4 separate regions of the Mus musculus genome follow, and all the other regions are reported to be linked to region 3. Evidence: microRNA targets listed by miRTarBase, many of them from high-throughput screens and not tested one by one. Region 3 holds a microRNA gene; each other region holds the end of a gene's coding sequence.

Evidence for each region. Region 3 holds the annotated microRNA mmu-miR-124-3p (UAAGGCACGCGGUGAAUGCC, at 2,696-2,715, opposite strand). A microRNA usually pairs through its seed, bases 2 to 8, with sites in the 3' UTR of a target mRNA and lowers its output. Matches are read on the target gene's strand: a 7mer-m8 pairs with bases 2 to 8, a 7mer-A1 pairs with bases 2 to 7 and ends in A, and an 8mer does both.
Region 1: miRTarBase lists Dyrk2 as a target of mmu-miR-124-3p. The part of its 3' UTR that is shown has no 7-base or 8-base seed match.
Region 2: the mRNA of Vmac is a reported target of mmu-miR-124-3p. Seed matches in the 3' UTR shown: 7mer-A1 at 2,222-2,228.
Region 4: miRTarBase lists Arpc3 as a target of mmu-miR-124-3p. The part of its 3' UTR that is shown has no 7-base or 8-base seed match.

Annotation. Positions count from the first base shown.
Region 1 is chr10:118,853,840-118,860,956 of GRCm38, forward strand. It overlaps Dyrk2 (dual-specificity tyrosine-(Y)-phosphorylation regulated kinase 2), which reads right to left. Exons shown (of 3, transcript NM_001014390.2): 3 at 5,510-7,117. The coding sequence ends at 5,713. Among named protein-coding and RNA genes, the nearest start is that of Gm40776, 8.7 kb to the left of the region's middle.
Region 2 is chr17:56,709,504-56,716,620 of GRCm38, reverse strand. Vmac (vimentin-type intermediate filament associated coiled-coil protein) reads left to right here. Exons shown (of 2, transcript NM_178926.3): 2 at 804-2,689. The coding sequence ends at 1,137. Ranbp3 (RAN binding protein 3) reads right to left here. Exons shown (of 17, transcript NM_001252466.1): 15 at 6,391-6,533; 16 at 5,844-6,030; 17 at 4,852-5,765. The coding sequence ends at 5,722. It also overlaps the pseudogene Ccpn-ps. Among named protein-coding and RNA genes, the nearest start is that of Vmac, 3.9 kb to the left of the region's middle.
Region 3 is chr14:64,586,307-64,593,423 of GRCm38, reverse strand. It overlaps Mir124a-1 (microRNA 124a-1), which reads right to left and starts at 2,767; the gene lies at 2,683-2,767. Mir124a-1hg (Mir124-1 host gene (non-protein coding)) reads right to left here and starts at 5,309. Exons shown (of 4, transcript NR_040709.1): 1 at 5,270-5,309; 2 at 4,457-4,647; 3 at 3,465-3,583; 4 at 1-3,151. Mir3078 (microRNA 3078) reads right to left here and starts at 2,239; the gene lies at 2,153-2,239.
Region 4 is chr5:122,404,485-122,411,601 of GRCm38, forward strand. It overlaps Arpc3 (actin related protein 2/3 complex, subunit 3), which reads left to right. Exons shown (of 7, transcript NM_019824.4): 6 at 600-694; 7 at 1,385-1,697. The coding sequence ends at 1,447. Among named protein-coding and RNA genes, the nearest start is that of Anapc7, 14 kb to the right of the region's middle.

The sequences.
Region 1 (7,117 bases), not on the chromosome of region 3:
TGGTGTCTCCATTGAAAAGATAGCCTCAGACATTGGTGGCTAGCAAACCTCTCTTCTTCCCAGTCTTCTCCCCTCTGTTTTTACAAAGCCTCTTTGGTATCATTCATTTCATTTTCTTCAGCATCAGCTGGGGATAATTATAGCTCAGAGGAGTGCGTAAGGATGAAGGATGCTCCTGTGACACTGTGGGATCTGCAGGGAGCTTTCTCCCCTTTGTGGGGAGAGCTGCTCCTACATGCTGCCAAACGCAATACAATCACACCTCTTCCAGTCCTTACCACAGCCAGCTAACACTTCAGAAGAACCACCACTCATTCTTGATTTACTAAACTTCCGAGACTCAGAAAAATCGGCCATTCCCGTCTCCCTCGCAGTTAATGAGGATGCAACCACGGCCGATCCGTTAAGTCGAAGAGGAAAGCAAATAAACCAAGCACTTGGCATGAAGACGCGATTCTCTCATGCACACACAGCACAGTGGTCAGATTTTCTTTGGGGAGGGGCTTCTGTCAGTGGTGACAAGTGTTTATTTGTGTTAAGTCTGAAGGAAAAGAGGTGTAATTCAAACTAGAAGAAACAGGTGAGACAAAGCAAAGCCACAGATACCCGTGGTTTCGGGTCTCTTCTAAAGCCCTTCCTTAACAGAACAGTAAGCGAAGCCAGCGCTAACAAGGGGCATTCTCTAAGGCTGGTTTGAAAGCAGCATTGAAGTTCCTTATTTCTGAATTCTTATTTGTATACTTGCTGGTTCCAAAAAGGTAACCAGTTCTAGAGACTCAAACAGAATATAGCCTTAATTGACTTCAGAACAAACTTAGATTTGGTAAGAGTGGTGGTAACTGGTCTTTACTGAGTCAGACCTGGGTGCCGTGGGCCTGCTTGGGTTTTCATATACATCATGTTCATTGGTTTTGCTCTCGTTTGGTGGATTCTGTGGTTGACTGGTTCTGTGTGTTGCGCTTTTACACCGGATGTGGAATAAGCAGCAAGCAAGATAAATCTGAAGACCTTTGTACTGGGCTTAGGAATCGCATGCTCCCTTCCTTTGGCACATGCTACTGACTGTGGATAAGGCACCGGAAGCCGCTTGCTTGTTGCCATTGGCAAGTAAGCCAGAAATCGGTGTTCAGTGTGATAACTCGACACATCTTGAGTTAGATGTTCAGTGTGTTAACTCAACACATCTTGAGTTAGATGCAGCTCACAAGCCTTATTTCCTGGCCCAAGCATGTCAGGAGACACCAAAACCCCAAAATGTGAGCCAGGGAAAATCATAAAATTAGCAAAAGCATGCACATTTCTGAAAGCCTGGGGTAGATAGGAGAGCATCTTCAGATAACGGACCTGAAGGGTCCACAGGGAAGAGTGAGGAATATCAGGAAAGACCTGAGCACCCTGCTCCCCTCCAGCCTGAAGGATAAAAGGATTCGAAGCTCTAGTATAGGATATGGGATGTAGCAGATACCATATAAAGAAAAATTAACATGAAATTACCAAAGAGAAATAGAAGTATCTAAAGAGCTCTGATTTAGTAGGGGGGGGGGGTTCTTCCTAAAACCTCATAAAACCAACAAGAACAAAAAAAAAACAAAAAAAAGAAAAGAAAAACCCTCAGAATCTGCATATTTCTAGTGAAGAAATAACACAAGGTTTTAAGGACGCAAGCCACCTGCCATGCAAAAGAGTCTCCCCAGGTTTAACAAACCAGGAAGAATCATACGAGAAATAGGGTGAGATTCCAGTTAGAAAAAGGGGTGAGATGTAAGGTAGGACATTAAAATTTTATTCTGAAATTATCTCTGGCCACAACAATAAAATTTAACAAATAATTCACTAAACAGTCTTACTTCTGCTCTGGCTGTACAATGCATACAGTATCATAGAACTGGTCGCTAGGGTTCAGACCCACTACAACACTTCCCATGTCAAGTGGCAACAGCAGCATCTCACAGAAATCTGTACATACATATATACACAGTCCACATTCAACCATTTCACATATTTTCAGTACACACAGTTGCAGCATTAATACAGTCACGTGTCTAAGGTGTTGCTCGATAAAAAACCCAAGCCCCCGCCTAGACATAACTGCAGCAGTTGAGCTGATATAATTACAATGTATCGTATATATGTCCATAGCAGAGAGATGTACAAGCCCCTAAAAACAGAGTCCACAAATACTTTTTTTTTAATGCTACCACAGCATTATGTTGGGCAATATTAAAACCTTTACCAACCGAATCCGTTGATTTTTTTTATTATTATTTTTTATTTTAAAAAAAATCTTCTGTTACCAGAAATAGTCTTGATGAAAAAAATTACAAAAAATGAATGTTCTCTTTTAAAATAATTCGCGCTTTTAAGATTCCAATATGGCCCAATGCTACTGATGCCTAAAGTGTTTTCTGACATTCTGATGGAGTCGTCTAACAGGACCCCACACCGCCCAGTAAGTTTAAAAGTGGCTTAAGTGTCATGCACCCAAATTGTAAAAATCCCTGGCCATCCTTACTGGAGCCAGGCACATAAAAAAAAGGAATGCACTTTGGTTCATACCAAATGCCCTGGGATTAACCAATCACACTATAAAATTAAATGGTTTGAGGTAAATTTTTACAAATACAGTTGATTTTTTTTTGTCTAGTGTTAGCATAACAACAAAAAAGTTATCGTTAAAAAATCAGTCTGATGTTAAGATACAACAAAGACCATCTTTAACCTCTTAAACGTGGGAATTCCTGGCGTAACTAACCAATAGTTATCTTGCTCAGCATCCAGTGACAATTCACGCCTTATGGTTTCTATTAAGGCCTATAAATCTAGATATTTAAGACAGATGTTATCTCCGCAGAGGTGGCATCCCTCTTTACTACCTCTCATTCAAAGAGTTAAAGAGGCCAAAAATGCATGCCCTGTAACATGGCATTCAGAACAAAAGGCACATTATTAACACTAAGGGCACAATTTCTCCTCTACGATGTTAATCTATGCTGCCCTGCGTCCCTCCGTGTTCCACGGTTGTGCTAAGAACACTCTGGTAGTGCAAGAAACAGAGCCAAGTGAGACTGCAACCAAAGACAAGACTACACTGTGCTATTCCTAAATCTGAAAACAGCTGAGACATCCCTAGACAATGGTAACCTGTGAGACCTGTTTCCAAGCCAACTCCTAGTCGCTATCAGAGCCCTTTACTTAGGTGAAGATCATGAAGAGGCAACAGTTTCATTTTAGACACAATAGTTAAATAAGATTCTCCTCAAAGCAGCGGTATCAGTAAATGCTGACACGGTTTTTGTGAATAAAGGAAATTTCACTGTAGTCCCGGGAGGAGGGTGGGGGGAGAGAAGGAAACAAAAGCCTTGTAGCACATGATGGTTCCATATATGGGTAAAGCTCCTCACAAAAGTTCCGCTGGCATCTACGAAGAACCAGTTTTGTGTGGTGGGGGAAAGGCAAACCATCTTAGTCCACTTCTAAACTGTTGCAAGTACAGTGAGGTTCTAGGGGAGTGAGTAACCTTAGACTCAGGCTCAGGCAGCAACCAAGTGAGAACAGAAGAAGGGAGCCTGGCGGGGAGGGGAAATAGTGTCCATTTTTAAAAATTTATTTTAATGACCTAAAGACAATAACCATCGTTAAGAGGCTCATAGCTTTATAAAGTCCCCAGACCGACTCTTTATACTTCTTATGCCTTTAAGCCAAAGTTTTAAAAATAAATACAGCATTTTTAAGCCCTCTAAGCCACTGATTGGGGGTGCTGTCACATGGGCATCTTTATGTAACTTATTGACATATTATTGCACTTCACAGATTACACAGAACTGTGTATAGTATGCTAAAGAGTTTGACTAGGGGAAATAAGCTATAATTGCTAAGTACAGGGGTACAAATTAATTTATCAATGACATCCTTAAATAGTAAAGCAAACATCGATATTACTAACTTATTAATAAGCTAATCTTATTACTGATTTTTGGCAAATATTTGAAATAATTCCTGAGCATATTTTTCCACCATCAACTGGCAAAGCCTCAAGATAAGAAAAATGTTTTATTCAAAATGACACTTTCTATTTTTTTCTTTTTTTTTCTTTTTTTTTTAAGTAAGAGAAAACATAGAATTAAAAAAACTTAACCGGAAACTTTCTTGGCCTCGCTGGGGACCGTGCTTTAAGTACTTGTAAATCGATTTACAGGCAATACAATAATATCTGTGCATATAAAAGATTATTTATCCTAATTTTTACTATCCAAAACCTATTGTCCAAACAGGCAGAAATCTTTCTCTATTAAATTGCACATACTAAAAAATTCTTTCCACGTGCCTTGAAATTGATATATATCACTGTTCATACATTAGTGATAAAATACTGAAATTTTCACTGTGAAAATAATTATTATTCAGAGAAGAAAATATTCTTTTACCTAACTCTCAGTTACTCTCTCAGGTAAAGCGTCATTCCCCACAAAAACACTCAGTGCGATTCAAAAGAAAAAGTCAACTCAACAGAGGAATAGTGTTTTTCCTGGGGCTCTTCTAGTGAATCAGAGAATAAGTCAGGCCATTTAACTTGACATTGGAATTTCTCCTCCCTTTGCAACCCCTATTCTTTCTAACGAAAGAGTTGATGCTTCCCCAGGCTAAGGGAACCTCTGTGGCACCTGCAGTGTGAACTGACTCCAGTCTAGGCGGCTAACTCTTCTTTGGAACTACGCAAATCCCCACCTCAGGTAGCTAGGCCGATGTTCTTTTGGGGTACAAAACTGTAGACAGAATGGCAGCTGAAATGTCTCTCTGTGTTATTGGTCTGGGATGGACAAAAAAGACAGACTAAACGCAGGCAACAGATGTGTGTGGTGGAAGAGGAGCGAACAAGAGAAAAGGCAGCAGGGAACACTGTGGGGGAGGGGGAGTCCTTAAAATTAGGTGCAAAAGCAATTCCGTAACCAGAAGGCTTCCTGATTATGACAGCCCGCCATCATCCTAGTGCCTCGGGAGGAACGGACACATCTCAGTTTCCACTTATCCACTAAATGCGGCTCGGTGGCTTAAGCACATCAGAATGTTAAGTGGGCAGTTGAAAGCGGGCAATCCTATTTTGTAATCATTTGAACAGACCGTGAGGAAAAAAAGAAAATCTCGAAAGTGCAGTTTTCCTTAGAGATTTTTCACCCCGGCCCCCCTTCTCCCTCCTCCACTCTGACCCAGATTAATTTATGAAAAATGGAGGCAAGGCGGGCTGCTTCCGTGTGAACCTGGAGCCAGGAGAGAGGAGGGGGGCCTCAGGGGACCACCTCCCTGGGGAGTGGGACGAAAACCACGAAAACAGAGTGAATGTGTTTGACCAATCTGTAAATGTGTGACAGTCATGAAGAATCAATGGCCTGCCACCAATGTGATTTCTCTGCCACACTAAATACAGTAAGGCTCATCGTACTTTTAGAAACACAAGGAAGGAAAACAAACAAAAAAACAAAAACCAAAAACAAAAACAGTTTCAGAAAGTATAAAAACTTAAAGCATTGTCCCCATGTATTTTATAAAAACAAAACAGTCTTACATCAAGTGCTGAAAAGATACAAATGAGTCGAGTTATTGAGCAAATAAAAACAGGTCTGAGCTACACTTTTTCAACCCAGTAAGGCTCAGCTATAACGCGGTTCTCTCTCTCTCTCTCTCTCTTCAGATTGCCAGCATCAGGGGGACTGGAGCTCAGCTAACGAGTTTCGGCAACACTGTCCTCTGCTGAATATTCCCATTGGCATCTGTCATCTGTGCCAAGTTAGTCCTCAGCTTGGAAGCTGAACTGGAGGGTGGAGGTAACTTGGAAATGGAGGTGATAGCACCAGTACTCTCTGTGACCCTCTTCACCGCTGTCTTCTCTCCGGTCGGAGGCTTTGGCAAGCGCCTCCTAAGCCACGGGTGCCGCAAAGCCTGGCCCGGGGTCATGCGGACCGCGGGATCCCACTCCAAACACTGTTTTAAGAAGTCAAGGAAAAGAGGGTCATCGCATCCCTTCAGTGCGTTCCCCCACTCTCTGCTCTCTGGCGGACCCCTTAGTTTCCCTCTCCGGGATCGGCCCCCGTTGAGGACCACAGAGCCATCTGAAAGAGTCGTAACTGTGCAGTATCGGGGGTAACCCTTGGAGCTCACGAAATTTTTGGCTCGTTTGGAAGCATCCAGGAGTTTCTGAGAGGGCATGCCCAAAAGCTCGATCATACAAGCCAGCTGGTCCCCTTCATCCTCCCCAGGCAAGAGGGGGTAACCCGTCAGGAGTTCCGCGAGGATGCAACCCAGGCTCCACATGTCTATGGGCATGCCATACCTGGCTCCGAGGATCACTTCCGGAGCCCGGTAAAAGCGTGACTGGATGTACGTGTAGACGCGTTGGTGCTCGTAACAACTGGAGCCAAAGTCAATCACTTTAATACTGCTTCGACCCTGCTGCTTTAACAAAATGTTCTCGGGCTTAAGGTCACAGTGGATTATTCTGTTCTTGTGCAAAGCATCCAAGCACTGCAGAATGGAGTGGGCAAACTTGCGCACCAGAGGCAGGCTGAAGCCCTGGAACTTATTCTTCTTGATGAGCTCATAGAGGTTCATGCTCAGCAACTCGAACGTCATGCAGATGTGGTTGCGGAAGGTGAAGTTCTCCAGCATGTGGATGACGTTCATAGTGTTGTCCTTGTCCTGCTTCCGTAGGTGTTCCAAGATCCGGATCTCCTCGGCCGCCTGCCTGTGGAAGCGCTTCTCGTTCCGCACCATCTTCAGGGCCACGTGCTGGTGGACTTTGTGGTCATAGGCCTTGACCACCTGCCCAAAGCTCCCCTTCCCGATGACCTTGAGGACCTCGTACCTGTAAGCCACGTGATCATGGGGCACCTGCACGTACGATCCCTGGTCGTCGTCATAACCACCATTGTTGGGTCCACCGGTCATGCCTTGGCGTTTCTTTGCATTTGGACCCAAGAAGTATATTTCAGGGTAGCTAAAAATCTCATGGTGTTCGAAGGCTGTGAGTTTTTGCATGTATTGCTTCATCGCTTGTTCGGGCGTCATGGGGGAGGCTTTTACCTTCCCCATGCCTTCCATGGACTTCAGAGAGGTGGAGCTGCCC
Region 2 (7,117 bases), not on the chromosome of region 3:
GGAGGCCCGGCGGACATCCCAAAGGAGGCGGGTGGAAAGGGCTGGGAACCGAGAGCAAAAATTTCCGGAGCACTAAATGCCCGGCATCACAGCACTAGGAGGGCTGAGACTGGAGGATCAGGAGTTCGGGCCATCCTCGACTACATGGGGACTTTAGAGTATAGCCTGGGTTACTTGAGAGCATTTCAAACTGTTAAAATGAAGCCAGCTGTCCCACCCACAAGGCCGAGTCTGCCGGTAGGTGCAAGAGTATTGTGTCTGATGATCGAAGGAAGCTGCTGGGTAGGGGCCCACATCGGTAGACAAAGGCACAGAACACCCCTATATAGAATAGTCAGATCTGTGACAACCATTTGTGACCATGCGGAAGTCCTACCGAAGGACACACAAAACTGGCACTGTTTTGTTTTTTGAGAGAAGGCTGGCCTTAAAGGCACTATGTAGCTTTCAACCCCTGATCCTTCTGCCTCCATCTCTCGAGTGCTGGGATGACAGAGCGCCAGGCCTGCTGTGGGGCTGAGGGTGCTTTACCAATGACATCAATGGCTCTGTGTATAAAGACACTCGCCACTAAGAATGACAAAGAATTTGATCCCATGGGGCAGGAGGAGCGAACCAACTCTTGAAAATTGTACCTTGACTTCCACATGTTTGCTGTCACATGTGTGCGCCTATGCACATAAACAAGCACACAAAGAAGTAGTGCAGGAGGAGACATAGGGAGTCTCAGAGGATTCTGGAGCAGGTAGATGCCCCCACCCCCACCCCCTGTAGGTAACTACCTTATTTGGTCCTCTTACCAGGGAGATATCTGCCCTCCAAGAGCAGCTGCTGAGCTCTGAGGCCACAGTTCGCAGCCTGCAGGCCGCAGTGGACCAGAGGGACCAGATGATCCAGCAGCTACAGCCTCGGGCTGACCTGCTGCAGGACATCACTCGCCACCGACCACCCCTGGCCGCACTGTTGGCCACCCTGGAGGAGGCAGAGGAACTGGGCCCCTTGCCGGCCAGCCACAGCCATAGGGCCCAGCTACTTCCTGATGGGCCTGGCCCACCCCTGGGCAACAACATGGGAAAGGAGGAGGGCCAGGACGACCAGGACGACCAGCAGCCTGCTGTGTTTGGGACCACGGTGTGAGCTGTCCTGACAGATCTCAGAATCTGTGGTCACGGCCCCATGGGGATTCCACTCTTAGAGTCCTGGACATCACCTAGAGGGGTCTTGAGACATTACCCGGATCCCATCTAAACATCACAACAAGTGAAAACTCAAGATCTCATTTAAACCCCCCCCCCCCCCCCAGTGCTGGAGTATCTGCTACATTCCACTGGTTTTAAATAGTTTCAAAAACAAATGAAGGTAAGGGTGGTAACTCTGGGAGGAGCATTCTCCACCAGGCATACACAAAGCCCAAGCCAGACAGGCACCCCAGCATCAGTGAGATGGTGGGGACTGACCCTGAAACCTCGGTGTTTCCTGTTTGGGACAGGGTCCCAGGTAGCCAGGCTTGCTGTCTCAGGAGTGTGGCATGGATCCCTGCTAGGCTGACAGGCTCCCACTACAGGCCCTGCCTGTGGGGAGTTTGTCTTTTTGCTTGAGATGGGGTCTCTCTCTATAACCCAGGCTTCCCTTGAATCCTCCTTCCAAGTACTTGGAATCTAGATGTGAGCCACCGTGCCCTGCTGATGGGAGCACTCCCTACCTTTCTTTCTACTCACTCTTGTGCCTCCTGAACCATCCTTAATGCCAAGACAAATCATTAATCTTGGATCTCTCTCCCATAGCTCTACCCTTCTAGGAAGAACAAGTGGGTTGAGACACCACAACCCAGAGTGCCTCAATGTCTTTCCCTGATTCCACACTCAGTTCCTTGACACTCAGGTCTCTCTCAAATGCCCCCTTCTGGAGGGGCCTTCCAACCAGCATCTCTGAAGTCATTCCTGCCAGCTGGTCACTGCCCTGTACTGTGATTGTTTGGTCTAGTTTTTCTGAAGCTTAGTCTTATGTAGCTCAGGCTGGCCTCTAAAATTTTTATGTAGCTCAAGCTGGATTTAAACTTTTGATCCTCCTGCTTCAGCATCTCCAGTGCTAGTATGACAGGCTTTGTGCAAACACCCACAGCCCCATCCTGGGACCACCTTTTCAGTGGGAAGGCAGTGGCTATGAAGCAGGGAATTTTGTCTTCTGTCTCCATCAGTGCCTAGCACAGCCCGGGAGGCCCTGCCTTAGCCAGGAGCCTTCTGGATACCTGATAAGCCCTTTCCTGGTTTCCAGGGACAATGATGTTTTTGTAGCAAGACGCCTTTTTGATACCCTAAGAGAATCTATTTTTTAAATCCTGGTTTCTGTGCTGCCTAGAGCCTATGATGGTGAGGGTGCATTGCCCTTGTTAGAGCAGTGAGAGGAAGGGGCCCCACAAGCCCTTGCACCCAGAGGTGGTGTCTGTTGAATTCCATGACCTGTGCGCTCAGGGAAATTGTCCTTGAGCAGCCACCAAGATAGAAGGTAGGGGGTGTTCGAAACAGAAGGGCCTCCAGCCATCCAGTCTACCCAGAGTCTGACATGGACCCTCAGTGTGGGAGACAGAGGCCCATTTTTTCTTGGGGATGGAGGAAAGAAGGGAGCTATCTGTATAGAAGGCAGACTAGGGCCTGTCTGCACCAGAATAAATTGGCTATTTCTCAACCTGGACTCTACCTTTTTTCCTGTTGTGGGGTAGCACGCTGCTAGGCCTTATACATACTTTACAGCGGAGGGGGCTGGAGTTAGCCAGCTGTCCTGCAGCTTCCATGTTCAAGTTATTCCCAGAGACAATTGAAACTCAGCCCGAAGAAGTGAAGGAAAACTACTTCTCTGCACAACTGAGGCCACTTGCAATTCAGGGGACAAGAGGAATATCGAAACTCATATTACCCAGGCTTTCTAGCCCTCACTAGGGGATTGTAGGTGGAACTCCACGCCCTGACCACACCCCCAGCCCCTCACTGGGGTATGTATCTTGGGTGGGGTCTGTAATGCTAAGCTATCCCTAGCCTTGCATCTTACTGCTAAGACTTGCAATAGCTTGGGCTGTATCTTAGAGCTTGCCAAGGGCTGAGACCATGAAAGGATTCACTGCAGCAACTGTAAGAGTTAATTATGTTTTACATTATAGAAAAGCAATAGTGCCTTGGGTGTGGCGTAACGACATTTGCCTGGCATGCTAAGGCTCTGGGTTCCATTGCCAGCACCAAAATCTGAAAACAATGAGAATTTTCTGCTACTTGCCAATGTTTGGAGCCTAGCAGGCCATCATCTATTTGGGTAGCAAAATGTCACTTCAGCTTCTCATTAACTGAATCATGATGCTGGTTGGCTTGCAACCCCATAATTTTTCTTTCAACATTGAGACAGTTTCACATAGCCTGGAACTCTTGTCCTTCCTCCTGAGTGCTAGGATTATAGCCATATGCCACCAGGTCCCCAGTTTTCAGTTTTTAAAGACAAGGTTTCCATTGGTAGCCCAACTTGGCTTTAGACTTTCAGATATGTCCCCATCTCAAGTGCCACCATGTCCAACTAGCCCTAGACTGGCTTTGGCTAGGCTGTTCCGTGTAGGGACAGTGTAGGCTGAGGGGCACAGGAAACAAGGCCCTTTCTCCAGCCAAGCTTGGAAGTACTGTGGCCAGGGGTGTGCACAGTGGGTCTGGGAGTCACTTCACCCAGTCTCCTTAGCTGGCCAATGTGCTGGCCAATGTGCTTGACATGGGGTCACAGCGAGGGCCCTCCCAGTCCCCAGAATCATACTGCCTAGCAACAGCTGTGCCAGGTAGGACACACAAACCTACCTGGAGCTCCAGAGCAGGATTCAGGGACACAGACAGGCTCTGTCTGGGCTGTACAGTATCACTGAGGTCTGTGCCAGGCTGGCCGAGTACAGAAACTCATTGGGAGTTCCGCCCCACCACAGCTGTTCACCTGTACCCATAATGGACACCGTGAACACCATCATGGAGGGGCCTCAGGCATCCAGGGACTGGCCAGGTGAGCCTTCACCCACAGCAAACCCAGCAGATTCTGGCCTGGGTAGTCACTATCCATCTAACCCCATCTTGATTCTCAGGGTTTTTTTGTCACCTGGACAAGGATGGCAGCCGGCCCCTGGATGAAGGGGAGCTGAGGGAGGGCCTGGCAGAGCTGGGGCTGGAAGTGGACAAGGCAGGGGCATTATGCAGGCGCTGGGACTGTGATGGCAGTGGGACCCTGGACCTGGAGTTCCTATGGGTGCTATGGGTGAGGCTGGCCTGTATTGACGGGCTGGTGATGGGTGCTGACCCCTGTACTCCACAGTCACTGTCCCCCTCCCATAGCCCCCCATGTCCCAGACTCTGGAAGCTGTTACTGCAGCTGCTTTTGCCAACGTGGACCAAACTGGGGATGGTGTGGTGACTGTTGATGACCTGAGAGGGGTGTGCAGTGGGGAGTGGACAGAAGATGCTGCCTCCCCCTAAGGCAGTGTCATTGGTCTGGGTCCCCTCACAGCCAGCACATCCACAGGTCACACTAGCTGAGTTCCAAGACTACTACAGCAGACAGCGCCTGGCACCTCTGACATAGCTACTCTCACCTGCCTAATAGCTGCACTTAGCCTAGTCCCTTGATCCACCTGCCATCCTCTGCCACCACTGTCCCAGGGGGCCCCAGCTAGACACAGGGAGGGGGGGATGTGTGAGAATGGAGGCTGAAGAACTGGCTGGACCAGGTCTCCTGCAGGGCCACCCACAAGCCTAGCAATGGCTGGATTGATTACTGACCCCATCAGGGGCCCATGGCCAAATCCAGCCTGACTGGCTGCCAGGTGCAAAAGAGTCTGGGGCTTTAGTTAAAAGTTTTAATGCAGTTCTCAAATACATTTCAATCTTACATAAATGTTCCAAAACACATGGGTGACGTCTGGATTCACTTGTCACTGGCTGGCTAAGGCTGGAAGCAGTGTGACCCATCTGCTAAGGCAGCCTCTGGTGTCCTTGCTGGCTGGAAGTGGCCTGGCCAGAGATGGAACCACACAGTCCACGGGTAGGGGCTTCATCTTCTGCCCGGGGACAGGCCCTTTGCAGGTTCCCTTTGCCTCTCAGGGGCCCTAGGTGGTCAGTCACCTCAGGGCTGGGTACCTGCTAAGGGAGACCCAGGTGGTTCACGTAGGCAGGCAAGAAGGCAGGAGCTCTCTTGGTTTCATCACCTTTGTCCAGACAGGTGTTCTCAGGCCCAAACCTAGTGAACCCCCGTGGGGGCCGGGCACCACCCATAGGAGCATCAAGTCAGCTCAGCCCACGTGTAGCTTCATCTGTGACCTCAAGAGCCAAGCCACCAGAAATGAAGGAGAGGCACCTGCCATGTGGACCTGGCAGAGTGGAAAGCCGAGCAGGTAGCAAGTTACTCAACAGAATGCTGAGCCTGGAGTTCTCTTTGTTGCTGCCCAGGGATGGACGGTCACCACGAAGCTGTGACAAGTGTCAATGTGCCATTTCGATCGGAGGAGGGCGGGGGAACGTTCTTTCTACTCATCAATATGATGAGGTCTGAGTCCCAAGCCGCATCCTGGCGTCCCCGTCTGCTGCAGAGGGGACACTCGGATCCAGCCTGTGGCCACCCCGGCAATAGACACCACCATGATGCGGCCTGCAGGGAGGGACGGGCAGCAGACAGACAACAAAGCAGCAGCCTGGTGCAGTGGCTCCGCCGCTATGTGCTCCCAGGAGCCTGGCCATCTCCTTCATCACCTGTGCCTGTGGGGAGAGCAGGTCTCTCAGTCCCAGCACACAGTCACCAGCTGGGGTCCCTCCCACTGGTCCCATGGTGCTCACCAGCCCCCGTGACACCGGAGGGAGCCAGAACAGCATCCTCATCACTGTCTTCCTCCTCGGTGGCCCGGGTGGCTCCTGGCTCAGGTGGGGGCGCCTTGGCCTCCTGTTCCTGTTCAGCCCGGCTACGCAGAGCCAGGATGCGGTGGTGCAGTGCAGCATACAGTTGGCCTGTGTCTTTGGAGCTGGCCTGGGGAGGCAGGGTGTTACGTGGCAGTGTGTGGCTAACGGCCACACTGGGCAGTGTTCACACATGTAGGCCCTAGCCTGTGACTAGGCCACACTGGCCTGGTCAGCTGACTTCTATAGCAAGAGACTACCAACAAGGTGCCCTTTGGAGAATTAGGCAGGACAATGAGGTCTGGGATCTGTCGTGTCGTCCCCCCCCAACTCCCTCCCTACCCTTGATGTCTAACCGAGGGGACAGCAGGTGTGTGCACAGCCATCAGGAACTACCCAGGGGAGGTTTGTGTCCGGGCCTGCCCACTGGTAACATCAGCGGTCTTCAGCACCGAGCCAGTGTGCCACCCCCACCTTCCCTCAAGCTTACCGAGATCAGGAAAACCTTGACACCCTGGTCCTCAGCGTCGGTGGCTGTGATGCGGATGCTCTTTTCACTGGCCTTATCCATCTGCATCTGTGCCCACAGCTTCGTGTTCAGGATGAGCCGCAGGCTGCCCTGGGTCCGCATCACTGCAGCAAGGGAGCTGCTTAGCAACACCTGCCCCAACCTGCAGCCCACGTCTGCAAGGGGCAGGGGAGACATGCCCTTGGGGAAGGGGCTAGCCTGCAACAGGGCAGGTAGGGTACACTGAGATAGAGACTGCTCCATCTCACCTGAGAACCGAGCCTGGGCCTAGCACATGTATGGGGCAAGTCCTAACATGCCCCTGGCTTGCCACCTGCTATGGGTCCACAGGGAAGAGGTCACACATAGTAACTGCTGAGCAGGTCCTGTTGACATTGACTTTAACCTTTCTTTTTTTTACTTTTCTTTCCTGATGTGAGGGTCTCAGTAGCCTGAGCTGACCTCAAACTCTTTTCAGTCCTCCTGCCTAAGCTTCCCAATTTCTGGCCTTAACTTTTAAGGGGAATGTAACCAAATGTTAGGACATGACAAAATTAGGACATGACAGGCTCAGAGCAGACCAGGCCAGCCTGGGCTAGAGAGAGACCATTTTCACATAAAGTCCCCCAAACAGGAGGGACAGCTCTGAAGCCTAGGCTGGCACTCTTCCTGCCCCCACCTTCCTTCCAAGCTATACTTTTTAGAAGTC
Region 3 (7,117 bases):
TACCGGGTTCCTTAAGAAACACAAGAGATTGTACCCAGTGGGGACTAAGGCAGTAGCGGGTGTGAATAAACCCAAGGGGAAAAAGAAAACATATACAGCCATCAAACTATGGCAGCCTCATCCTACTGTTAGATCGCAAGTTCCTCCCTTCATTTTCGCCATAAGATGTAATTAGAAGGTTCAAATAGGCAGGGGAGATGATGCTGAGAATCCAGGAGGTGCCTTGAGAGAGCAGAAGGCTTCTCTGCATAATTATTGATGGGCAGAGAAGGGCAGCGAATGTAGAGGAAGGAGGTGGCTCAGGCTGACCTTGGCTCTGATTCTTCATTTGGTGGAAACAAAAGGGGTTTGCACTTATACCTGGGGCTGAGCAGGTCATTAGAGTCCTACATACAAACCCCTTCTGGGAAGGGGATCTGGTAGACACATACGAACACTGGTTCACATAGACTGGCCAGTCCAGAACACTCCCACACGCCAATAACACACGAATAATACTTTCTGGAACAAGAGTTTTACGTAAGCAATAAAATAACAATGCACCCCTCCCAACTCAGATCCTCCGTAGCAGATCCCAGGCAGGCCTTATGGATGGTGCCTGCGGTTTGCGCTCTCAGAGCAAAAGCATATTGGGTTTCTACCTAAAAGGACTTTACTTGGGGAAGCATCTGGGGGTTACGTAAGATGAAATATCGGTGAAGGACGAGGGGACATTTGAAAGAATCATGGGGAAGCAATTACTGAGTAGAGGATTGCTAATGGGGATATTTGTGGTCCAGGGGGGTTGGGCCATCATCTGCTTAGGCCATTGCTTGAAGGCAAAATAACATCTCAATGAGCACGGGGGGGGGGGGGCAAATGGGTGTACCCCCAAAATGGTACAGCACACTAGCCGTTCTCTTCTAACCCATTTGTGAAGTGAGGGAGCACCCCAGGAAAGGGCCAATTTTTATTTCAAGGGAGGTAGATTTTCTCGAAGCAATGGCTATGGCGTCTCTTAGGACAGCCATTGTGGCTGGGTCTTTCCCTTTCTGCCTTGAAAGCAGTCTGGCTTGTCCGGTAGGACTCAGCCAGAGACACCCTCAGGGTGTGGGCACTGCAGCTTTCTGCCTGCAAGAGTAAGCAGGCGGTGGCTTATTTCTGCAGAGCGGGAGAAGGTTCTGGGAATGCCTAGGTGGAATGTGGTAAATTGAAGCTCAGCCTGGCTAGCTCTAACATTCTCTTCTGTGAGGAAATTTAGAAGTTGAAATCATCGTAAAGAAGGACACATAGTAGATACTCAAGAAATAATGAATACTCTTGAGGAAACTAGGCCAGAGAGGTACTGATCTATGATATACCCTCAAATACTAATTTACTAGACTAGATGAGGCTGAGGCTTTTTGAGACAAGAGTCCTCCATTAACTTCAACGGATGCTCTTTTAGACCCTGATTACTGTGTTAGGAATCAGATTAAACTCCTAAACATCCTTCATGGGCTTGGCCTTGCAAAGGCAGGCCTCTGGCATGACAGCAGGGGGGAGGGCTACAGCCTGCTTCCTGGGGGTGGGTTGTGGGGGGGGGGAGGAGGCCAGCTCTTGGCCTCCTTTCCCTCCCTCTGCTGCTGGGTCCTGCCCCTCCTCCATTTACTCCACCTGAAAATTAATGAGTTTAGGTCGGCCACCAGGCCATCATCCATCCACTGCAGGTTGGCGGAACACTGAGATGGAGACGGGATGGAACTGTGTCGGGGGCCTCCAGGACCAGCTGCTGCTGTTGGGGGCTGATTTGGGAAGCAGGTGCTTCAGGATGAGGGAGGATTAACCCTTTCTGTTCCTGGACAGCCTGCTTCAAAACAGACTTTCCTTAGGCCTCCACCTTACTCATGCTGATTTTCCTTCTGTCTTGGGGTTTTAAGAGCGATGGGGAGAGGCCCACACTCTGGGGGCTGGGGGTGGGCTGCGCCTCCTTTTCCTGTAGCTTCTGGATTTCTGCCTGAAACTTCAGCCACAGCCCCAAGGAGGCTGGGAGGCCCTGCTTTAGAGCAGTGGGCTAGCTGTCAGTTTTGATGGAGTCTGTGCGCTGTCCATGAACAAATTTGCCGATCGCCTTCGCTCACTCCAGAGATCTGTTTAAGCTTGTCAAATGCCCACAGCTCTCCACCAACGGGTGACAAACAGCTTCCCCTAAAGACTACCCCAGCAACCCCAAGCACAATACAAGGTAGCTGCAGTCTAGGCTTTGGGGCAGTCTGCCAGTCGCATGGGTACTTGGTTATTATTATTTGTTTAAGGGTAATAAATTGAAATCCGGAACTAAGACAGGTAGGGATGAAGGTGTCGGCCTTCTACAATGGGCAGGGTCCCAGAGCTGAGGGGCACATTTTACTCTCCAGCCGTCCCCAGGCTATTTTCTGCCGCCGCCGCCGCCGCCGCCACCACCACCACCACCCCCCCGCTTGCATAGATCCGTGTTTCTGTCACAGAATGAGTTGTTTGCTTCCTAGATTCTATTTGCATCTGCACAAACCCCTCTCTGTCGGTAGCTGCACACCTCCCCACCCTAAGGGCTACTTTGCGAGGCACTCAGAAGCCTGCTACCCGTACTGTGGGCGCCTGCAGCTGCAGCGCTGAGATCTGCCCAGGGCGTTGTGCTGGGTCGATCCTTCCGTGGCAGGCCCTCGTGGACCCAAGGTGCTCAGACAGCCCCATTCTTGGCATTCACCGCGTGCCTTAATTGTATGGACATTTAAATCAAGGTCCGCTGTGAACACGGAGAGAGAGGCCTTTCTCCTGAGGAAGGAAGAAGGAAGGAAGGAAAGAAAGAAGGAAGGAAGGAAAGAAAGAAGGAAGGATGGAAAGGAAGGAAGGATGGAAGAGAGGGAGGATGGGAGAAAGGAAGGGAGGAAGAAAGGAAGGAAAGGTGGAAAGAAAGGGAGGGGATGGGGAGAAGATGAGATGAAAAAAATGAGAGATGAGAAAGAAAAAGCTGGCGACGCGTGCGTGTGCGTGCGCACTGACAGCAGGGAGGGTGTGGGGTTGGGGAACGCGATGAGCTAAGGACCACCGCATCCTTCCTACCGCAGCTCCCCCAGTCACAGACAATGAGATAACAGCCACGTCCTCCGTAGGCTCTTTGTTCTCCCGCATCCTTTCGTTTCCAAGCTTTTTCCTGCAAAGGGGAGGGGGGTGGAGGGTTCGGGATGTGGGTGGAAGTGGGAGACGGAGGGGTGCCTCCCCCGTGTTAATTACCCCGACTCCCTCACTCCTCTCCTCGCGCTTCGCCTCCCCTGCAGTTCCAGACAATGAAAAAACATCAACCCCACCTCGCCCCACCGCAGCGAATCCTACCCACCCAGTTCGCTCTCAGCTTCGCCTAGGAAACTGAGGGGGGCCAGGAGGAGGGAGATGACGGAGAGGAAAGGGATGGGAAGCAGGGGCCCAGCTACTGCTGCCTGGGCAGGGCTTGTGACCGCCGCCTTTACCTTGAGTGTAGGGTCCGGGTGTAGCCTGGCCGGGCGTGCCGCAGGGCAGAGCTGCTGCGGTCCCTTACCAGGATCTGTGGGAATCAGCCTTCCGGAACTCTCCTGCTGCGGTCCTCTCGCTTAGGTCCCAAGTGGTGGATGGGAAAAAGGAAAAGAAAAAAAAAATAAATAAATAAGAGCGAGGCCCATCTGGCCCCTCATCAGCCTTGTCAAGTCTTGCATACGCTAAAATGCTAATGACCTAGATAGCTCATGCAAAATGCAGCAGGGAGGGACAGAGAAGGAGGGGGAGCGAAGGGAGAGCGAGAGAGGGAGGAGTGAAGGGAGAGGGAGGGGGAGACAGAGGGAGGAGGGAGACTGGGAGGGGGGAGGGGGAAAAGAGAGAGAGAGAGAGCGCGCACCCCTACATGTTCCCCCACCCCACCCGTCAACCGGTTTTACAGAGGTAAAGGGTGGGTGTAGATTTTAAAAGGTCACCCCTATAGAATGTAGCTGGGTGGGGTGGGGGAGAGATCCCCAAATCCATAGGGACAATAAAATATTATTTTAAGACCCCTCCCTCTCTGCTCTCCATCACTCTGTTTACACACAAGTCCAGTCACCTTATGCATGTACATGTCAATTTCACAAGACTGCTTTCAACAGACACCCACGTTGCCATTCCCTGAACAAACCCACCCAGTGCACCAGAGTGAGGAAGGTGCTTCCTAACCCACAGACCTCCCTCACCTGGTCCATCCCACTCCCTACTAGTGCCTTATCCTTTCAGGCAGTCGTCCCCCCCCCCCCTTTCTCTTTTCTAAGCCTTCCCCATTCTCCTTCCCAATGGCTCAAAAAAGCCAGGTAGAGGGCATAGAGGACAAGTTAAATCTAACTGGATCGGTTCCGTTCAGCTTCCCACCCACCCCACAGGGTTGGGGGACACAGTCTTTACCTAACACTGACCCTTTTAAAGCATGCCACAAAAATCAATAAAATTGAGTCCGAATAACCTCAGAGGTCCGCAGGTCCGGCCGGGTACTGTTGGGCAGCGTTGATCTCTCCAATCGGGGAGCCAGAGTTCCGCGCGTCCCAAGACGCTTTGTCCCGGAACCCCCGCACAATATCCTCATCTTTTTGTTCTCCTTTAAAGGATCCTGGTTGCAGTCCGCCGCGTTTCAGCCAGTCCAAACCAAAGGCGGATCTATTGGAATAAAAAGGGATGGGGATAATATACACGCAGATGGATGCGGGAGAGTAGTGGAGGCTAAAGTCAGCCCCGCAAGCAAGGAGCGGCCTCCCTGGCCAAGCCCCAAGTGCTTCCTCGGCTATTGAAGGGAATTGCTGCTGGCAGGCGCTGATGCTGGCTCCACCTGGCCGGAGGAAAAGCATCCTGGCGATGACCCTGAAAGAATTAAGACACAAAACCAAAAAAAAAAAAAAAAAAAAAAAAAAAAAAACCCCAAACCGAACCAAACCACCAAAACAAAAAAGCAAAAAGCCAGAATCCTCCTCTGGTGAACCAGAGCACGCGTGCAGAAGAAACCGCTCTGCTGGTGGCCGCGGTCGAGGGGGAAGGATGCTAGCGCAGGAGGCGAAGGTTGCAGAGGCTGCACCCTCAGATGAATAATAATAACGCGCTGAGAAGTTGCAGTGCAGCTTGGAAATCCAGCCCTGCGCGTGAACTCGCGTCGAGTGCGGATTGCAGGGGATGGGGGAGAAAGGGGGGGGGGTGAGGAGAGAAGAGAGGGGGAGGGGGTGAGGGGATTGAGAGGAAGACAGAGAGAGGGACGCAGAGAATTTAGTGCCTTTTCTTTTAGTCTTACCAAGAGCTGATCTCCTTCACTGTCCTCGTTGGGTGAGGCCGAGGTCCTTTTTAAAAATTATTATTCCTTTAACGGATTATTCAGCTAAGAGAAGCCACATCTGCTGACAGTTCCGAAAACAAGAGGATTAGGAGTAGGTCCACAGAGCCCGGCCCGCAGCCCCCCCCCCCCCCCTCTGCACCAGCACACGTCACTCTCACTGCCCCCGGGCACCTCCCTCTCCTCGCTCGGTGTTCGGGAGGGTTGTGCCAAGAAAAATGCGGATTTGGGGAAAGTGAGAAGTGGGGGTGCTCTCACGAACGGGAAAGCCAAGGCCGGAGGTGGCGATTCGCACCCCCACACTTACACTCGCTTCCGTTTATCCGTTTAGATCCTGGGAGAAGTGGGTGCTTTCACCGCACCCACACGCGCCGCATCTGCAGTGGTCAGAGCCCTCCGATCCCTTGAAGCCACCCTGGCCGCCCCAGACCCTGCCAAAGTCCTCTGGGTGGACTCGGGGGGCTCAATCCTACCCCTGCCTGAATAGCTTCATGGTCTCCAGTCCTCTTTTTCTCAGTCCCCTCCGTGCAATACCGCCGCTAGCCCACTCCCGGTTTCTTGAGCTTCGGTCAATGGAGTGGGGAGCTCGGGGGCACTTGCACACCTTCTGCTTGTCGTCCTCAGCCCGAATTGCCGGGCTGTAGCTCAGCCAGGCTGGTGAGGATGGAGCTGGGTGCTGCTGCGGTTGTGGTTGCTGTCACTGCGGAGAGCGCGAGGCTGCGGGGCGGTGCGGCGACCCGAGCGCCAGTGCAGCCTCCTCCTCACCCCTCCCTAGGCTGGCGTCTGGGCAGGACAGTGCTGGGGGTGGGAAGACGAATGGCGGAAGGTGGGGGGATGGAGGACCATAGTCTCTTGTCGCCCCCACCAACGCCCCCCCCCCCGCAGTCAAGGTGAAAGTGAAGGAGAGCGGGCGCGCGTGCTCGCGCCTCTAGTTGCGTGCGCGCGCTCCTCCCCTGCCCGCGCCCTCCCGCCCGCCCTCGCCCGCCGGGGCCAGATGGACGTCCGAGATTACAGAGGCACAAAAGTGCGTCTACACGTCCAGCCACCCGTCCTGCGGACGTGGAGAGCCACTTCGGGGAGGCGCCTTTTGTTGTACTTGTGTGGCTGTGTAACTGTTTTTCTTTTCCAAGAGCAGAGTTAGCTGTGGCTTAAAGAAGGACCAAGAATGAATGTCCCCCATAAGAGCGAACCAAAAAGACCTTCCCCCACTCGAGCCCCCGCGCCTGCGATGAGAAATCTGTCTTCCCAAAGGGCTATTGCGGCAGCCGCGAGGCAGCCCCGACCTGCTCACGCAGGCCCATCTGCTTTCCCTACGCCTGCTTTTCTTTGATGACTTAAAAGAAACAAATAAACAAACAAACAAAAAAAACTGAACTGTTTCTTGGGCTATGTTGAATTCAAGACATCTAGACAGGGGAGAACAAACTCGGAAAGCTAAAAGCAGTCTTAAATGTTGTGGCTGTCAATGGCCAGTGCAGAGGGTGGTGGCCGCGGCGCCCACCTAGCCCTGATGGACCTCCGGGGATGCCCCCTGGATGGAAGGCCATTTCTGTTTCTGTCAATTGTTAGGTAAGGACCCCAACAGAAGAACGGCTGTAACAAAACCTCCCCCATGTGCTGTTTTTTGCTTCAACACTGTGTGGCTAGAAGCTTAGGAAATAAGCTGTTTTTGTAAATTTCTAGAATTGAGAATCTTAGGAGGGGTGGGTAAGAACTAGAAAACATCCTTGTGACGGATTTTAATTAAAAAAATGTAACTAGTTGGCAAAGGCCCCTCGCTAGGCAATCTTTCTGGGAGCACTGACCACT
Region 4 (7,117 bases), not on the chromosome of region 3:
TCCCCCGGCCCTGCCCCTCCTAAGGGCTGGCGCTGCAGGCAGGCCAGCCACCGTGCCCACTGTACTTGTATGTGGATGCTGAGGATTGTTTCTCTGGTTCTCGTGCACGGCAGGCTCTTTCTCCTCTGAACCATCTCCCCGGCCCACTGGCTGGTGCTCAGATTGACAGCGGGGTGCTCAGCACACGCGTGTTGCCTTAACTGTCACAAGAGAGCTTGGGAACAAGTGTAACGAACATGCAGAGATTGTTGAACTACTACCAAAATGAACGTAGTTATGAAACCATTCTGTGTCAGCAAGGTGGCTCAGCTGGTAAAGGCAGCCGCTGACAAGCCTGACGGTCTGGGCTTGATTCCTGGGACCCACACACACAGTGGAAGGAGAAAACCACACTCCTGTAAGTGCGCGTATGCGTGCGCGCACACAGAGGAAGAGAGAGAGAGAGAAAGAGAGAGACCAAGACGACCAAGAGGACCAAGACCATCTAGGCCATTCTTTCTTGTCCTAAGCTGTCTGAATGTGTGCAAATACTTCACCAAGGTCAGTGTCAGACAGGCCATGGTTAGGGCCTCCTCACACACAGATTTCCTGTATTGCAGAGATGATGCGGGCGTACCTCCAGCAGCTGAGGCAAGAGACCGGACTGAGGCTGTGTGAGAAGGTTTTTGACCCTCAGAGTGATAAACCCAGCAAGGTGAGATGTCCCCTTCTGCCTGTTTAATTGGAGCTGGAGCCTCTGGCCCGTGGCCTTCTAAACCGCTGAAGTCTGCTGTCGAGAGCGATCATTTCTGCCTGCTCTGGAAGACCACGGCTATCGTTTATGTATGGGCTGTGTAGCCATATGTCCACAGTCTGTGGCTGTTGGTCCCTGCTGTGAAATGGCATGGCATCTGTATGTGATGTAAATGCCATGTAAAATGGAAATGGTGGCTCTGTTGCATCAGGTACAGAACAGTCACAGGGAGCAATCTGTGTGTGTGTGCGTGTATGTGCATGCATGCGTGTATACAGTGCGTGTCAGGGCCCCTTGGTTGGGGTGGGGGGGGGGGTGAACAATGGCCCAGGCTGGACTTGAGCTAACTGTGTGGCCACAGGTGACCTTAGCTCCTTCTGCCTCTGCCTCTAGTTCTGCAGTACACAGGCATGCTACCGCGTCTGCCTCACATGCCTTCCTGCCCGTGGGTGGATGTGATACGAGCCTCACGCCTGGGGAGGGCCAGGTGGACGCGTCTCCCTGCTCTGTGGGGTCACCTTTGAGTTCAGTGGGAGGTGTCTGCTGTTTACACTGTTGTTTGTCATAGAGAGAGGCTGGAATGCTGGCCCGCGCCCACACTTGCACTGTGCCCTGACCCTGAGCATATGCTCTGTCTTGTGCCTTTGACAGTGGTGGACTTGCTTTGTGAAGAGACAGTTCATGAACAAGAGTCTTTCGGGGCCTGGGCAGTGAGAGGAGCCTGGGCAGCACCATCACGTGGAGACACATCATAGGACACACAGGCCGATGTGTCTGTTCATACCTACCGTATCAAGGAGAGAAGAGAGCCTGTCTTTGCTGGAAAAGCTCTTGGTCAAGAATTGGGAGGGTGGGTGTCGGGTGATTTCGATTTTTGGCAGTTTTAAGCTGGTACTTAATATATAATAAATGTCACTGCTTATGTTAGACATTGAATTAAAACATTTTTGAGAAAAAGCTTACACACACTGTACCGTGTATGGGAAAGGGTGGTATATTGAGGGATAGGGCTTGGTTTTCTATTTATGGTTTGGTTTGGTTTGTCGTTTTTGAGCCAGCCTCACTGTGTAGCCCAGACTGGCCTGTAGCTCGTTTTGTCTCCCAAGTGGGTCTTAAACCTAAGTCCTCCCACCTTGACTCCCTGTCCTGGGATTGCAGGAGTTCTCCACTACGCTGGGCTCCATCAAATCCTTTCAAATAATGAACAGTTTGGTGGTTGTGAGTATGTATGTACAGTTTCATAACCATGACGTACATCTAATTCTACAACGCTTTTATTACCCCCAAAAGATGTGCCTTTAGCAGTGATTTCCCTCCTTTGCTGATAAGCCTCCTACCCCCACCCCCAACTTCTGGACTAGTCTATGCTCTATCTTCATAGACTTGTTTATTCTAGATACTTCATGTGATCATATGAGTTCTATAGTGGATAAGTCAGCCTTCCAGTCTGGCTTTGTTTAATTAGCGTGTTGCTAAGCCCATCCCCCCAGCTCCCCATCGCTCATGTAAGTGGAATCAAACAATAATTATCCGTTCATACCTGGCTTTTCACGTGGCACAACATCATCAACACCCACCCATGGTGGTGCATCCATGCTCTGTCCGTTCCTTTTTTATGGCTGAGTAATATTCCATTTGGACACAGATCACGTGTCTGTTCATCATCATCCAATGGATATTTGTGTTGTTTCTGTCTTGGAGCTCTGACTAAACACTGTTGTCAAGAACAGCCATGTACACATTTCTAATGTGGACACAAGTTTTCATTTTTCTTGCTTATCATAGCCCTCAGGGTAGGACCTCTTGAGTCACACGGGAACTGGAGAAGGCCTGCGTGGTTTTTTCCCCCCACACTTGTGCTGTTCCATATTCCCACAGTGACATGTGACTGCTCTGTTTTCTTCCATGTTTCACCAACACATTCCATTGCTCTCCCAGGGGCTGTGACGTGGAATCTCATTGTGCCTTGGTCTGTATTTCTCTTGAAGATGGTGAGCTGCTTTGATGTGGCCACTTACACACCTTCTCCACACAACTGTTTAGACTTTGTCCATTTTTCTTTCTTTTCTGGGGAAGGGTGAGGAAGTTTCAAGACAGGGTCGCTCTGTGCAGCCAGCCCTGGCTGTCCTGGAACTCACTCTATAGACCAGGCTGGCCTTGAACTCGCAGAGATCTGCCTGCCTCTGCCTCCCAAGTGTTGGGATTAGAGGTGTGTGCCACTATGCCTAGTGATTCAACCATTTTTCAAGTGGCTTAAGCCATTTTCCTTTTTGTTGTTGAATTTTTTTCCCATTAATTTATTTGTTTATTCGTTTTACATCCTGATTGCAGACCCCCTCACCTCCCAGTTCCCCATACAAACAGTCCCCTTCTCTGAGAAGGAAGAGGACCTGCTAGGTACCAACCCACCTTGGGACATCAAGTCTCTGTAGAACTAGGCACATCATCTCCCACTGAGGCAGCCCAGTTAGGGGAACAAGATCCATAGGCAGGCAACAGTGTCAGGGACAGCTCCCACTCCAGTTGTTGGGAGACCCGCATGAAGACCAAGTTGTACTACTGCTACATTTGTTGTTGAATTATAAGGGCTCTTTATATATTCTGGCTGCTAGACTCTCTCACGTCATTTGCAAAGCCTTTCTCACATTTTGTGGATTTTGCACGTAGAGTCCTGTTGCGCTCAGTAGTTTTGAACTTTGGTTCAAGTTCCATTTGTCTTGTTTCTCTAGTTACTTGTGCTGAGTTTTTAAAGATTTATTTATTTTATGTATATGAATACACTATTGCTCTCTTCATACATGCCAGAAGGATCCCATTACAGATGGTTATGAGCCACCATGTGGTTGCTGAGAATTGAACTCAGGACCTCTGGAAGAGCAGTTGGTGCTCTTAAATACTGAGCCATCTCTCCAGCCACTAGCTCTTACATATAGTTCTTTAACCCAGCTTATTAAATTATTATATATATGAAGTGCATGTGGATACAGTTGCCTGGGGAGACCAGAAGATGGCATCAATGGGAACTGAACTTGGGTTCTCTGCAAGAGCAACGAGCTCTCTTGGGTTGAGCCATCCCTCTATCCCCACATTGTGTTAGTTTTTGTATGTGAAGAGAGGTTAGATACTTTGTTCTCTGTGTATGACTAATTATCTCAGCAGCATTCATCAAAATGACTTTATTAAATGATCTTGGCTTCCTTATCAAAAATCAGTTGACCAAAGCCTGGTATGATGGTCCAATGACCTTTTATCTCAGTATCCAGAGGCAGAGTGGATTTTTGAATTACAGGTTAGCCTGGTCTACATAGTAAGCTCCAGGCCAGCCAGGGCTACATAGAGAGACCCTGTCTCAAAATGTATAGCTTTATTTCAAGAGTCTAGATCGCTGACTCATGTAACATTGAAATCAGTTCTGTATTTGGCCAATTTAAGCCAGCAGAGTGGTACACACCTGTAATCCCAGCACCCAGGAGTGTAAGGCAGGAGGATTATAAATTTGAAGCCAATCTAGACTTATAGAGTGGGTTCCAGGCCCTCTTAGGCACATAACAAGACCCTGTCTCAAGAAAAAGAGAAGTTTGATCAGTTTTATCATTTGGAAGGTTTTCTTGGGTTGGTGAGACAACTTGATGGGGAATAGATCTGCTACACAAAAGCCTAAATTTAGTCTTCAGAACCATTGCCAGAAGGAGACCCAACCCCCAATGTTGTCCCCTGACTGCTGTCATATGTCACATCCCCATCTTCCACAGTAATAGATACTACACACACACACACACACACACACACACACACACACACACACACACATACACACACACACACACACACAAACATACCCCTGGTTGTCCTGAAACTCAGAGATCCCCAGATAATCTTAAGAAAATAAAAGAGACTGGAGAGATTGCTTATCAGTTAAGAGCACTGGCTGCTCTTCCAGAGGACCTGAGTTCAATTCCCAGCAACCACGTGGTGGCTCACAACCATCTGTAACTCCAGTTTCAGATTTGATGCCCTTTTCTGGTCCTCTGTTGTTAACAGGCGTGCATGTAGTACACAGAAATATATGCAGGCAAAGCACCAATACACTAAAAATAAAATTGAAAAAAAAAAAAACCAGAATTGCTTTCTTTTTATGTGTGTGTACAGGATCTTGCTAGGTACCCCTGGCTGTCCTGCAGTTAACTGTGTAGGCCAGGCTGACCTCAAACTCATGTCTGCCATTCTTCAGCCACCTAAATGACCCTGGCAACCTGAATTTGGCAAGAGAGAATTGGGTCCCACAAGATGTCTTTTTTTGTTTGTTTGTTTTTTTGTTTTTTGTTTTCGAGACAGGGTTTCTCTGTGTAGCCCTGACTACCTGACTATCCTTGGAACTCACTCTGTAGACCAGGCTGGCCTCGAACTCAGAAATCCACCTGCCTCTGCTTCCCAAGTGCTGGTTTTAAAGGTGTGTGCCACCACTGCCCGGCCCACAAGATGTCTCACAGGTGGCAGATGTGCACCCCACCCAGCATGACCCAACTTTAAGGAAAGACCCCTTATGCGGCTGACAGAAGCAGGTGAGTGGCTGCAAAACGCTGTGTGGTCTGTATTTCCCAGTACTCCATGGGTCGGCAGACATTCCGGAAAGTGCCTTCGCTGCCCTCTTTGTGGCCCCTCTGCCACGCTGGCTTTTTTGGCAGTTGTTACAGTGTCTATGTTGGGATTGTATTTGGCCACAGCTACAGAAACCCCAGGCTTCTGTGCCCCTAGTTTTGTCCTTTGAGTCTGGAAATTGGCCAAGGTGTGGCCACGTGAAGACCTCCTTGGACCTGTGCTGTCTGCCCCATTCCACATTGGGTGCCGCACAGGCTCCGCCCCAAGGGTGTGGCCTGTGTCTCTGCTCTTGGCCGGAAGTGGGAAGTGGCTCGAGAGATGCTGCCCAGCAGAGAACACTTCTGCCCTCCCAGGCCATCCCATAGGTGGCTTGCCCTTGGGACTGGCCAGAAGGGAGCTCAGAAAGAGCCGTGGTTCTACACCTATCTTTTGTGTTGTGCTGTTGAGGACAAAGGCAAGACTGTGCAAAACTGGGTTTATTTATTTAAGTTTGATTCAAAACAGTTGGCAGCTGACTGTTTCCAGGTTGGTTTTATTTGTAAATATTTATTTATTTATTTATTTATTGGTTGTTGTGTGAACGTTTTGCCTGCATGAACGTCTATACACCATGCCATTGCAGTGCCCAAAGAGACCAGAAGAGGGCATCAGATTCCCTGGAATTGGAGTTCCAGACACTCCTGAGCCACTGTGAGGGTGCTGGAAACTGAACCTGTGTCCTCGGTTACCCTTTATAACGCAGTATAATTTTGGCGGGGTGGGGGTGGGAGGTTGGGGTGGAGTACCTCAGCGGGCCCACGCTGAGGCATCCCTTGAACAATCACACCATAGATAAGTCTAGTATAAAGAAAGTTTATTGGGGGAAGAGAAGACATACATGCAGACAAAACACCATGAAATAAAGTAAATTAAAAAAGAATCCTTTGTCTCCCCTACCTTTTATGTAAATGCCATAACACACGCGCGCGCACACACACATGCACACGCATGCCTGCCACCACCATTAAAACCCTTGTTTTCTCAGAGGTCACTGCTCCTGTCCAGGGATTTGATGTCCTGGAGCAATGATGTCTTTCCCTTCCTTATTTCTTAATTCCAGCGAGCTAATTCTTCTAAGACTAGCCAACTGAATAACACTGTGAGGTGGAGCCCAGAGAATGAAGAAGAGGCACGATTTTCACATCAGTTAGAATAAAAGCCAAGTGCACTTTGTCTTGTGTGCTTGCTTTTCTGATCAACAATAAACTTTGTCTTGTCCTGACACTTGAGTAGAGTGCTGCTCCTTTCTTTGTCACTACGAGCATATTCCCAATCACAGCCATGGCTGACCTCCAGCGTTCACACAGCCATGGCTGACCTCCGGCTTTCACTCGCACACACAGACACAGAAGCACATAAACCTGTATGTACGTTTTTTTTTTCTTCCTGCCCCATGGTCTTCTGGGAATCTTTTCCTCACAAGCTGACAGAGGAAGGATGTAAGGCTGGAGTATCCCCCCAATTGGGCCGGGCAGTGGTGGCACACACCTTTAATCCCAGCACTTGGGAGGCAGAGGCAGGTGGATTTCTGAGTTCGAGGCCAGCCTGGTCTACAGAGTGAGTTCCAGGACAGCCAAGGCTACACAGAGAAACCCTGTCTTGAAACCCCCCCCCAAAAAAAAAGAAAAAAGAAAAAAGGAAGGAAGGAAGGAAACTGGGGTTACAGCTTGAGATCCTGTTTCAAAGAGAGAGAGAGAGAGAGAGAGAGAGAGAGAGAGAAAGGAAGGAAGGAAGGAAGGAAGGAAG